Neurospora crassa OR74A: one gene and its partners. The protein of the gene in region 1 interacts with the protein of each later gene in a pairwise test. Links are inferred from orthologs where the notes say so. Each region holds a gene or a part of one and is shown in the gene's direction. Other genes may lie near its edges. The genes, in order: NCU06347, eat-2 and csb.

Region 1 (4,817 bases):
TATCTAATAACAACGGCAACCACCATCACCATGCCCGACATCAACCTTCAAGAGATCCATGACACTCTCGTGGAGGTCGCCTTCGAGGCCGGCCGCATGATCCTCGCCGCCAACCCCAACAACATTGACAAGGGTTCGAAGATGAACTGTGTGTGCCTTTCCTTGTCCTCCGACTTCTTCCCCAGCAGTCACCTACTCATCCTCGGCAAGCAACCTCAACTACCTTGACTAACAACCCTTTTCCCTTGCTCAACAGCCGCCGACATTGTCACCGAAACCGACCAAGCCGTAGAGCGTATGGTCTCCACCACTCTCCGCTCCAAATACCCCTCCTTCTCATTCGTCGGCGAAGAGACCTACGTCGCCGGGGAAACCAAAGTCACCTCCGCCCCGACCTTCATCGTCGACCCCATTGACGGCACCACCAACTTCGTCCACGGCTACCCGCACGGCTTCTGCATCTCGCTCGGCTTCGCCCTCGACCGCCGCCCCGCGGTGGGCGTTGTCTACAACCCCGCTCTCGATACGCTTTGGACGGCCACCAAGGGACAGGGCGCCTACTGTCAGCGCAACGCCTCTCTCGAACCAGGAAAGGGACAGGGGCCAAAGCAAAAGTTGCCGCTGAATGGGGGCCAGCCGCTAGGAGACCTTTCCACGGCCCTGGTGGCGGTCGAGTGGGGTAGTCAGCGCGAGGGAAAGAACTTTGATATCAAGACCAGGGTGTTTAGACAGTTGACGGCTGCCAAGGAGAATGGCGGGTGTATGGTGCACAGCTTGCGCAGCTTGGGCAGCGCGGCCTTGAACATCTGCGCAGTGGCGGCTGGTCAGGTCGATATGTACTGGGAGGGCGGGTGTTATGCGTGGGATGTGACGGCGGGGTGGTGTATTCTCGAGGAGGCGGGTGGAATTATGGTTAGTGCAAACCCGGGGGATTGGAACCCGGAGTTGGATTCAAGGTTGTATTTGGCCGTCAGGGGAGCGGAGAGCGGACAGAAGGAGATTGTGGAGGAGTTTTGGGGGGTTGTTGGGGATGACAGGATGGAATATAAGCACTAATGGTTGGTGAACATGACGCGGTTTTGGGTACGGGCTTAGGTTATCAGGCATTGGGTCAAGTAATAAGCAGGCATATTGGATTTGGAAAGATGTCGACTAGATGAGTTAAGGCTATCGTTAGAAGGGTTGGATTGGGGTGCGATATCCGGGAAAGGGTCGTTCGCCCGTCAGCAATGTGAGTGACAGCTGCATCACGGTCCTATGGCCGATCAAGAAGAAAACTGAAGGTGATTTCGTTCCTTGATGTGTGAAGATGTGGCAAGGTACGTTGCAGAAAGGTTGATAAAGAAGGAAAAAAAAGAATTCGCATTTGATCCGACCCAGGCTCGATCTGGGGACCTTCAGTGTGTTAGACTGACGTGATAACCAACTACACCATCGGACCGTTGATGTGAATAAAGGTTTTCTGCGACTTTATGACTCATAAAGTTAGACATGTTTGATGCCATGGCCTGGAGTATTGCTATTCCTTTCAATGCTGGAAGGAATCGGCACCAACTGGTAGCTGAGCTGGTTGCTGTGGTTTACCTAGTGAGCATGTGCGCTTTATCTGTAACCTCTATAACCTGGACCACGCTGGTCGCTCACTGGGAAGAAACACAAACAGTTTGAATCCTCGAGTGCGTGGTTTCGAGTTTATAGCATGGACGTGAAGACGACGAACATCACATCATGCAGTTGACACAAGTTCAACGAGATGCCATTGTTTGGATGAAAAAGGGGCTCAGGGGCAGAGAGAAAGTGGAGACCCATGTACCTCGAAGCTACGGCAAGGCACAACAGCCATGTGCGCACATCGGGCCATCCCCCCGGTCCCGGTCATACTGCGAGGCATCATCCACCGACAACAAGAGACGGAGCTTGGACGTTGCAGCTGCCCTGGGATCCGCCTGACAACTTCCCACTGTAATCACACCGCGCTACGGGGCTGTACACTGGCAACAACCGACCCAACCTGACTTCCTCGAGATAACCTCAAACCCAATCGAACTTCATTTCCATTATCTAACATTGACCCGAGTATCAATCTCCACTTATTTCCGTGACCGTCTCGCTTAATCGAATCGTCAATTGCTCTCATCATTTCCAAGTCGGTCAATCAATCAGCGCTCCCGTCGACGACCGCATTACCACCGGACAGGAACCGGAAGCCGTTGCCCCCGGACTTAGGTTGCCGCTGCGATTCACGGCCCTTCAGCTTGAGAGGTAGCTGCTAGCCAAATTTCCAACCCACTTACACGCATATAATTACTACGAAGCCAACCGCGACAATGCCGCCAAAAATCGAAGCGCAGGAAATCGAGACGTACTGGAACATCTTCTCGGCGCGAACAAATGGCGGCAAGTTCCTGACGGGCGAGCAGGCGGCGCCGGTGCTGAAGAACAGTGGCCTGCGCGATGACCAGCTGGAGCGTGTTTGGGATCTGGCCGATGTGGACAATGACGGAAACCTTGATTTCGAGGAATTTTGTGTTGCGATGAGGGTCATCTTTGACCTTTTGAACGGGGTTCGTCTACCTCCTTCTGTCCTGAAGCTGCGAGCGAGCGAGCGAGCAAGCAAGCAAGCATGGGAGCAGTAATAGCAGCAGTATCAGAGAACTAACAGGGGGAGACGGTAACAGGAATACGCTGATGTCCCGACAACTCTCCCAGACTGGCTTGTCCCCGAATCTAAAGCCCACCTTGTGCAAGCGAACCGCGCGCTAACCGGCAAGGCGCCGAAATTCGAGCAAGTCGAAGATGAAGACGATACCCCCGGCTTGAAGGATGGGTTTGACTGGTACATGAGCCCGGCGGATAAGTCCAAGTACGAGCAAATCTATCAAGAGAACCGAGATATGCGCGGCGAGGTTTCCTGTATGTTTACATCCCTTCCTTTCCCTTCCCTTCCGGTCCCTAACCTCATACTAATCTACCTACCTACCCGCAGTCGCCGCCCTCCAAGACCTCTACGACTCCCTCTCCGTTCCCGACACCGACATCCGCTCGGCCTGGAACCTGGTCAACCCGTCGGCCTCCTCGACCATCAACAAAGATGCCTGCCTCGCCTTCCTGCACATCCTCAACTACCGCCACGAAGGTTTCCGCATCCCGCGCACCGTTCCCGCTTCTCTGCGGGCCTCGTTCGAGCGCAACAAGATCACATACAACGTCAACGACCCGTCGCAGTCGCGCTGGGCCCAAAAGGCCGACGATGAGACCTCTACCGGCCGCAAGGCCAAGTTCGGCGATCAGTACCTGACGCGCCTAGGCCGTTCCTCGTTCAAGACGGCCGGCACCGACTTCTCGTCCGAGCAGACGGACGATCAGTGGGAGGAAGTCAGGCTGAAGAAGCAGCTGGCGGAGCTGGACGAGAAGATGGCCAAGGTTGAGGAGGCGGCGAACCGTCGTAGGGGCGGGAAAAGGGATACAAAGCCGGCACTGGTCAAGAGGGAGCTGGAACAGCTGTTGGATTATAAGCGCAAGGAATTGAGGGACTTGGAGGAGGGTAAGGGGAAGGCGGCGGCTGGTGGGAGCCTGAAGAGCGTGGCGGATGATTTGGCGACGGTTAAGGAGCAGGTGGAAGGGCTGGAGGCGCATTTGAGGAGCAGGCAGGACGTGTTGGAGCAGTTGAAGAGGGAGATTGAGGAGGAGAAGGTTGGGAGGTAAGCTGTTGAGGGTCGGTACAGGGAGATGGGTTGAAGAGGTAGAGAGAGCGGGCTGTGATATTTTGCTGGGTTCCTCGAGGCGAAGACCATGGGCAGTTTGCCAGGACAGGAATGATTTGGGTTCATCGGTTACGTTTCATCTTTCTAAGACAGCATAATCTCTTAATGGCATTCAGTGGAGTAACAACAAGCTGCCTGATGGCGCATATCTTGACTGTGTAATTTTCCCAGGTGCTATGGTATATTACAATGAAAGGTATCATGTTGACTGTGCTTTTCAGGGGAATTTAAGCATCACAATCCACGCGCCTTTGCACTCAGCGCTTGTCTAAGCAACAACATGGTGGCTCTGCTTGTTGCCGCTAGAGGCTGTCGGGAAATGTGAAAGGAGTAGAATAGTTTGACCGTATAGATATCTTTTCGATTTCATCAGCGTGAAGAGGCATCGGAAATCCTAGTTTATGCCATTTCCAGTCTTATTCCACTGGTACCTTGATATACATGTCCTGCCAAATATGCAGGCACAAGCAATATGTTGCTTCGGAGTTGCTGTGGTTGGAACATCTCAAAAGGTACGAATGAATTGCATCTTCACATGGGCCCATCTGGATCATGTAATTACTGGTTTGAGCAGCTGAGTCCACGATAAATAAGCGTAAAGTGAGGCTGTCAGGTTGAAAATGAGTTGAAGAGGGTGTTGTGGATGCTATCGTAGGATCGATGAGTACACTAGTGGGGCAATGACGCTCATGGTCACATGGAAAAGCTTCCAGGGGAAAAAGACCCCTCTCCACCATTCGCTGTTGGACATTCCACAGCGAGTGTTTACCTAACTCCGCACTTTGGAGCCTGGAAGGTACCTACCCCGCCAATCCGGTTCCAGAGTTGCAATTCATCCCATCCTTGGATCCTCAACAAGTCGTGCTGTAGTCTAGGTACAAGGTGAAGGTACTTCGCATACTTAAAAGAACTGCCCTGCCTCAACCCTCAACCTTTTGAATTCTCGTCTCCTTTGCCTCCACATTTCCATCTTCTTCAAGTTCCATATATACCCATCGTACGTACGCGACGCGCAACTTGTATCTGTAACCACGTTCGAGTCTTTAGCTAACC
Region 2 (2,848 bases), on another chromosome or scaffold:
TTCAACGTCTTCATCGCCGATGGTCCCAGCAGCAGTCCGGCGGAGCTGATCAAGAACGCCAACGTTTTCGCCGGCGCCATCGCTGATGTGTGCAGTAACACCAAGGGTCTCGTTCGCCTCGCTACTGACGAGAAGAAGGGAGACTCTTTGATCAACGGTGCTCGTTCATCTGCCCATTCGACAGTCAAGTTCTTCCGTGGTCTGTTGAGCTTCCGCCTTGAGGGCATGGATCCACTTCAGAAGACCGACGTTGTCATCAACAGCAATAACGATGTCCAGATCAACCTGCAAAAGCTGAACAAGCTTGTCGAGACCTTCGCTCCTGGCTTTGGCCAGCTCGCTAACAAGGGTGACCTTGGCGACATCGTCGATCAAGAACTCAGCAGGGCAGCCGATGCCATTGCTGCTGCCGTTGCCCGTTTGCAGAAGCTCAAGAACAAACCTCGCGATGGATATACTACCTACGAACTCAAGGTCCACGACTCAATCCTCGATGCCGCCATGGCCATTACCACCGCTATCGCGCAGCTCATCAAGGCTGCCACCGCTACACAGCAGGAGATTGTGCAAGCTGGTCGTGGCTCGTCTTCGCGCACCGCCTTTTACAAGAAGAACAACAGATGGACCGAGGGTCTTATTTCCGCCGCCAAGGCTGTTGCCAACTCTACCAGCACTCTCATCGAGACTGCTGACGGTGTTCTTTCCAACCGCAACAGCCCTGAGCAGCTCATCGTTGCATCTAATAATGTTGCGGCCTCCACCGCCCAGCTCGTGGCTGCCAGCCGTGTGAAGGCCGGCTTCATGAGCAAGAACCAGGAGAGCCTGGAGGAGGCCAGCAAGGCTGTCGGTGCCGCCTGCCGTGCGCTCGTCAGACAAGTCCAGAGCATGATCAAGGACCGCAGTGCCGAGGATGAGCAAGTGGACTACAGCAAGCTTGGGTCGCACGAGTTCAAGGTGCGCGAGATGGAGCAACAGGTACGTGATTCCTTCGAGATTTCCTTCCTCTTTCATTTCCGGTACCCTTGGTCTTGCCTATTATGGTTCATTGCTGACCAATTCATTCTCTCCCCATCACAGGTCGAAATCCTTCAACTCGAAAACGCATTGAATGCTGCTCGCCACAGACTTGGCGAGATGCGCAAGATTTCGTACCAACAGGATGAGGACTGATTGTCCCGCAACACATGGGGTTGTTGAGGTAGTATACTCGGTGGCTTCATTCATCTCGCTGGCTTTACGCTTCAATGCGCAGCGTGGGCACATGCATCCGACCAGATCCCCTCCCTCATTCTGTTTTCGTCCCGCAGCGTCTTCCAAAATCTTCATCAGATGTTTTATATTTCAACTACCCCCTCTGTACCTAGCTCGAATTCCTTTGGGAGTCATCAGGTGTTAGTGTTAAACTCAGTTTCATCCACCTTGTTCTTTTTCATCCACTGAAGTCGTCAATTGGCCGTCGTAACTTCGGCCTCGGATATGTTCCGTTCGCTCTTCGCGCGGGTGTTTGGTAACACAGGCAAACCGCCACTCCCGCTGTCATACTGCTGGCATCCGTCGTGTTTCTTTTATGGCGATGTACATCCTTTTTTTGTGGTTTCGATTTTCGCGTTCGCTGCTCGCTGCTCGCTCGATCGGTCGGTCTGCCAGAAAGTTTACCAGATACGTCAAGAGTGAGTAGGCGACCAAATTTCGTGCTTTGTGCTGCTGAATATCACCCCTTTTCCGCCTCCTCTTCCCCTTCCCCTGTCACGTCAGTCCTTCAGCCCTCGGCTGTCCAATTTCCCTACGTCTGCTTATACGGCCCATTTCACTCCCTCTCTTCGCTTTTTTGTCGCAGCCCGTTCGTTGTCTCGTCATCGGTGGCTGCTTTCGTTCGTGCAGCAAGATTCAGAACGAGAAAATCTCTGGTGGAGGGAGTTCAAGTTCCGTTTCCTTCCTATCGCCTGGTCCATTATGCTGTTTTCTCTTTTTCTTTTCGTTCCCCACGTCAGCTTGAAAGTCTGGTCTCTGTCTCCCTCTTGACTTGCATTTCCTAGTTCTTCCCATTCTGGCAGGCCAAGCTAAAGTCGAACCATCACACTCTCCTGCTTCCCTCTCCGGTCGGTTGGCGTTCACGTTGTTATGCTATTAAAGTGCTCCTGCGGAGTCGTCGTTGTCGTACCAACCAATAGCTTGGATGACGGGTAATTGGATGTACCAGTGCCAAGTATTGGATCCGCTGGTGTTTGCTGCGGGCAGATGGTTGTGATGTCCATGAGCTGTACAATAAGAAGAGATGTATGGGAGAGCAGGGCAGCGTGGGGCTGCGTTGGGCAAGCAATTGCATTCTTCCATGGCGTTTATAGGTTGGGACCTGCAGCAAAATATTCAAGGGTATACTTTTTGGGGGGGGAGCCTCTTCAGGTCGTTTACGGGTCTTGGTCGAGATATAGTATAGCCTACAGCGTCCTTGGGTTTGGGATTCTTACGTAGACTTCAATACCTACATTGGTCAATATGCGAATGAAAGCGAATCAAGCCTCAGCTTAGATAGTTTGTATTTGGTATGTCGCGCTGTTCTACGCTCTAGGTATGTACCGATGTTGCCGAGCACCAGCGCCTGCTTACCTTTACGCAACTGCAGAAGTGAGCTTCGCTCGTGCAGGCAGGACGACACTGCCACCTTATTATTTATCCCGCCTAGTAAACGGTAGGCATTAAACTTGGCAATTGTAACCTCGGACCTCCCAACCTACCCATGTACCTGCAGAAGTGAGCTTCGCTCGTGTAGGCAGGATGATATTACAACCTTAGTATTCATCCCGCCTGGTAAACGGTAGGCATCAAACTTGGCAACCGTAACCTCGGA
Region 3 (5,026 bases), on another chromosome or scaffold:
CAGCCGTTGAACTCTCGAACTTCGGTTTGTTTCCCAGCCATAACATCCTGACACATGGAGCTCCTGTTGTTTTTCACCTTTTCTCCAACTCGTTGCAGCATTGCGTTAAGCCGCACAGCCGAGAAACGCTCTACGAGAGCTTCCTTGCTCAAGTCGGCATCCGGGGCCGAGTCAGCACCAGAGAGAATATCTTTGCTACTCGGGTGTTGAGCCAAAGCCTGGAGTATTTGACTAGCCTCATCTACCAAAATGTCCATGAGCTTCTTCAGCTCAGGTGCTGGCTGGTCAAAAAGATGACCGTTCATGCAACGGATGACAGCTGTCAAGGGGTTGATAAGTGAGTTGATGATGAGCTTTTCCAGTTGAAGAACCCAGAGTGCATTCCGTGGCACTTTACGAGCCTCCAGCTCGGGCGCCCTCCCAATTTGTTCCATAAGGTAGTCTGCTGCGTGTGCCGTGTTTGGGTTGGGCAACACCAAGCCCATGGCGATATCAGCGGGAGCGGCATGAACACTCTTGAAGGTACCCAGAGAAAACACGCCGTGGGTCGTCACACAGACCAGCCAGTTCGGGTGTTGTCTAGGCGGGAAGCGATGCTCACTATATATGGCGCCGAAAGGCGGCCACAACTTGTTCATGCCATTCTGAACAAACCCGACAGTTGAGTTCCCATCGAGATAGCGCCGCAGTCTGTCTACCTGAGGCAGAGCGTCTGGAGCCTTGGTGGCGACCAAAAGGTTAGCGATCTTGTGCCCGTCACAGACCTCCCTCACAGGCCCATGTGCTGGTGCTTCCTCTGTCCACCACTCTACGTCGAAAGATAATATTTTTTCGGTAACGCCGTGTCGTGTCAGCTCAATACCCGGCTCGGAAACCCAGTGCTCTAACAAACTTTTCCGGTGAAGGACGAGTGTCACCGGGACTTCTTCACCCAGTTTTCCCAGGGAGTTGGCATAGAGCCTACCGAGATTACCAATGCCAAGAATAAAGATGCGCCTTTGAAGGTCCTTTGGCGTTGCCGACTGGAATTGTCCATTGTTTCGGCTATTTGGTAGGTTTTGGGGAGTCCAGGCATAGAGCTTGGGCGCAGCTGAAATACTTTGAGTGATGTTGTGAAGCCATGGTGGTAGTGTCACACCGTTTTTAGGGACTGATTGTGCGAGTAGGCGTGTTGTCGTCGACATGTTTGTGACGAATCGAGCCATACCAGCTAAAAGCACCTGATTAGAGCCAGGAAGATGGGTCTTTTAGGGATTCTCGTGGTGGTAGAGAAGAAATGGAACCAAAGTTGTGAGCCGAAGGAAGAGATGATGAAAAGGATTCAGCTAAACTCATGTGATAGCATAAGGGAACCGGAAAAGAGAAATCGAAGCGGAGGAGATGCTCGCGATAAATGACAAAGTATATGCTACGCCTTTGTAACCTACATACCGTGAGCCTGAGTGGAAACAGAGCAAGCACTACGAGCCCCTGAGTCCGCGATATGTGTTGTTGACTTGGTCGAACATCGATGCAATGCGCGCAGTCGCGATATCGGGATGCTTAGTAATCACTTTGCCCAGGTCACATGACGACGTGTCGGTACAAGTACGTCGCCAAAAGCAGAGGATCTCCAACGCTTCCGCGAACCCTGAACTTGCAGTGCGTCATCGGGGGCCAGGGTTGAATATTGTTGCGCCTGCCACTTGCGCAAGTAATGCCTATCACCCGCAGTGAGCAAAAGCGGGCGCAAAAAGCAGAAAACAGGCAACAGCACTGCAGCTTCGATCCGTAAACTGCGGCTTCTGACTTTTCATCGCAACAATCCATCATTCCGTTTGCCTCCAGTTCGGAAGACTCCGCTACAATCCGTCGCTTCTCTAATGCCACTCGTTGAATTCCGCCTGAAGTTGTACTACTTCCACCAGAAAGAGCTCATCTACCCTATTCATCCCGTCCATTGCAGTATTTGACCACACTGTCCATCGTCCCTCGCTTCTTTGTCACTTGGGACCAGCCAGGATTTCCAGCCAACGCTGAGATCTTAGACTAGACAGTCGACGATCACAAGTGCTATCTATACCTGTTTGCCATTCCTTCCTCCATTTTGCTTGCTTTAGTCAATGGCATTGCATTCTTTCTTCCATCATGGACCCTGATACAACTCAATTATCGAAGACAACCGAGGCCTTGCCCGAGTTGACGCCCAATGTCGAACACACAGAAGCAATGACACTCGACAACAAAAACTCGGCCGCTGATACACAAAGTGCGCCAAATGCTGACGAGCTCGACGAAGAGGCTGCGCTCAAGAAACTTACTGAAAATGTTCGAGACCAAGACGATTTGGAACGTGATATCACCCTGCAAGCCAGCCGTGCCTTGATCGAAGCCGAAGACAAACGAGATCAGAAACGCATCGAAAAGGCTGAGGCCACTCGTACGAGACTCGAGAACCAGAAGAAAACACAGCAACAGAAACTGCGGCCTGGTATCACCAATCCAACCGCACGATTACGCATACAACAGGAGATAGCGCGAATTGATGCCGAAATCGAACTTTGCGACAAAGACATTGCCGATTTCCGTGCCCGCATCGAACAGCGCAACCAGCAGGGCGAGACGGGTACACTGGCCCCGGCCACCGGCAAAATACTCCCTAACGAGACCCAACGAGAATATCTCATCCGAACGGGCAAGATCACGCCGTTTGCTAAATTTGGTGGACCCAGACCTGCCGAGGTTGAGGGTGATCTCGCCAACGCCATTGTCGATGCAGAAGACGAGGCTGTCGCTGAAGAGTTGGAAGAAAAGGAAAACGACGGCCCTCGATCCCATCAGAATCTTCGTCTCCCTGGCTTTGCCGACGAAAATGAGGTCGCTACCGTAGCTGTCGCAGACGATTTTTCTCTACGTCCCCGAAAGAGGCGTAGGGTCCAGCCGCCGCCCGAATCCGACGATGAGTTTGTGCTGGGAGAGTCTGGATCTGAAGCGGCTTCTCCTGAGGCCGACGCATCCGACGATTACGATGATTATGAAATGGCGGGCACTACACTCAAGAAGCGGAAGAAAGCAGTCAGAGAAGCCGATGGTGATGACAAGGTCGATCTGACTGGGATCGATGATGGCAACGAAAAAGTCTATCAAGCAAGACTGAAAGGCTGGGTAACGCGTAGGAGCAATGCACGACGGGCTCGTCAGCAGAGGCTCGGCCAGCCAATTGATAAGGATGATGATGGAACAGAGGAATGGTTCAAGCCAGCGCCTGACCAGCCTGACCACCAGTTCGAAAACGGGCTGAAATTGCCAGGTGACATTTACCCAGCTCTCTTCGACTATCAGAAGACCAGCGTACAGTGGCTAGCTGAGCTGTACGCGCAGCAAGTTGGAGGTATAGTTGGAGATGAGATGGGTTTAGGAAAGACTGGTATGTTCTCTCCGATGTCCCCCCTGGGAATCCACGGAACGTTGCTGACGGGATGTAGTGCAACTGATTTCTTTCGTGGCTGCGTTACACTACAGTCAAAAGCTCGACAAACCCGTCATTGTTGTAGCCCCGGCAACAGTTTTGCGTCAATGGGTAAACGAGTTTCACCGCTGGTGGCCACCACTTCGAGTATCCATCCTTCACTCGTCTGGCAGTGGCATGCTCAATGTCCGCAACGAAGGAGCGCTTGATGACAGAGAGGATGACTACGGCAAGAGAAAGCCTAAAAAGTCCAGCCAGGCTGCAAAGAAGATCGTCGATCGCGTTGTTAAGCATGGCCATGTGCTGGTGACAACTTATGCCGGTTTGCAAACGTACGGCGATATATTGATCCCGGTCGACTGGGGCTATGCTGTTCTGGACGAAGGACATAAAATCCGAAATCCAAACACAGCAATCACCATTTACTGCAAGGAACTTCGGACGCCCAACCGTGTGATTCTTTCCGGCACGCCAATGCAGAACAACTTGACAGAGCTATGGTCTCTCTTTGATTTCATCTACCCCATGCGACTCGGCACCTTGGTTGCCTTTCGAAATCAGTTCGAGATCCCGATCAAACTTGGCGGTTATGCCAACGCAACCAACCTTCAGATCATGACTGCTCAGAAATGTGCAGAGACGTTGAAAGAGACCATCAGCCCCTACCTACTTCAGCGGCTCAAAGTAGACGTGGCTGCCGATTTACCCAAGAAAAGCGAACAGGTCCTATTTTGTAAGCTGTCCAAGCCCCAGCGCGAGGCGTACGAGCTATTCCTCAAGTCGGATGACATGACTGCTATTCTCAACAGGACGCGCCAGTCCCTCTACGGTATTGATATCTTGCGTAAAATATGTAATCATCCCGATTTGCTTGATCCGCGGCTCAAAGATGATCCCTCTTACAAGTGGGGCAGTACCAGCAAGTCGGGGAAAATGGCAGTGGTGAAGTCATTACTTCCCATGTGGAAACGTCTAGGCCATAAAACGCTGCTGTTCTGCCAGGGTACTCAAATGCTGGACATCATCGAGGCATTTGTGAGGCGCCAGGATGGCATCAACTACCTACGTATGGATGGCAAGACGCCCGTCAAAGATCGGCAGACGCTTGTCGACCAGTTCAACAATGACCCGGACTTACATCTCTTCCTTTTAACCACCAAAGTGGGCGGACTTGGCACCAACCTGACGGGAGCTAACCGGGTCATCATCTTTGACCCAGACTGGAACCCATCAACCGATGTCCAGGCCAGAGAACGTGCATGGCGGTTGGGACAAAAGAAGGAAGTCACTATCTACCGGCTTATGACAGCTGGAACCATCGAAGAAAAAATCTACCACCGCCAGATCTTCAAGCAGTTCCTGTCAAACAAGGTGTTGAAGGACCCGAAGCAGCAGACCTCATTCAACTTAAATGACCTTCATGACCTGTTCAGTCTAAGCTCGTATGAAGACGGGAAGACCGAGACAGCAGAGCTATTTAAGGGCAGTGAAGTCAAACGCCTGCCTTCAGGACCCACGGAGATAGTCTTGCCTGGTAACGACACGCCGGTTCTCCGGGCCCCTGGAGCCAGCAAACCA

Evidence for each region.
Region 2: the proteins of NCU06347 (region 1) and eat-2 interact in a protein complementation assay, tested with the Saccharomyces cerevisiae proteins (2 studies listed by BioGRID, with this or other methods). The link is inferred for Neurospora crassa OR74A from reciprocal best matches to the Saccharomyces cerevisiae genes END3 and SLA2.
Region 3: the proteins of NCU06347 (region 1) and csb interact in a two-hybrid assay, tested with the Saccharomyces cerevisiae proteins (2 studies listed by BioGRID). The link is inferred for Neurospora crassa OR74A from reciprocal best matches to the Saccharomyces cerevisiae genes END3 and RAD26.

What each region holds. Positions count from the first base shown.
Region 1 is NC_026504.1:2,822,848-2,827,664, forward strand, and holds NCU06347 (actin cytoskeleton-regulatory complex protein end-3), read left to right. Parts: upstream 1-1,916; 5' UTR 1,917-2,327; coding exon 2,328-2,564; intron 2,565-2,678; coding exon 2,679-2,913; intron 2,914-2,986; coding exon 2,987-3,705; 3' UTR 3,706-3,918; downstream 3,919-4,817. Other genes in the region: NCU06348 (myo-inositol-1-monophosphatase), read left to right, coding at 31-148, 257-1,056. UniProt on the Saccharomyces cerevisiae protein: Component of the PAN1 actin cytoskeleton-regulatory complex required for the internalization of endosomes during actin-coupled endocytosis. The complex links the site of endocytosis to the cell membrane-associated actin cytoskeleton.
Region 2 is NC_026501.1:1,867,419-1,870,266, reverse strand, and holds the end of eat-2 (cytoskeleton assembly control protein Sla2), read left to right. Parts: coding exon 1-975; intron 976-1,077; coding exon 1,078-1,170; 3' UTR 1,171-1,715; downstream 1,716-2,848. UniProt on the Saccharomyces cerevisiae protein: Required for cellular morphogenesis and polarization of the cortical cytoskeleton. It might act in concert with proteins such as CDC42 and CDC43 to limit the region of cortical patch formation to the cortex of the bud.
Region 3 is NC_026503.1:1,029,809-1,034,834, forward strand, and holds the start of csb (DNA repair protein Rhp26/Rad26), read left to right. Parts: upstream 1-1,650; 5' UTR 1,651-2,127; coding exon 2,128-3,406; intron 3,407-3,464; coding exon 3,465-5,026. Other genes in the region: pan-3 (pantotheic acid-3 protein), read right to left, coding at 1-1,205. UniProt on the Saccharomyces cerevisiae protein: May be involved in the preferential repair of active genes.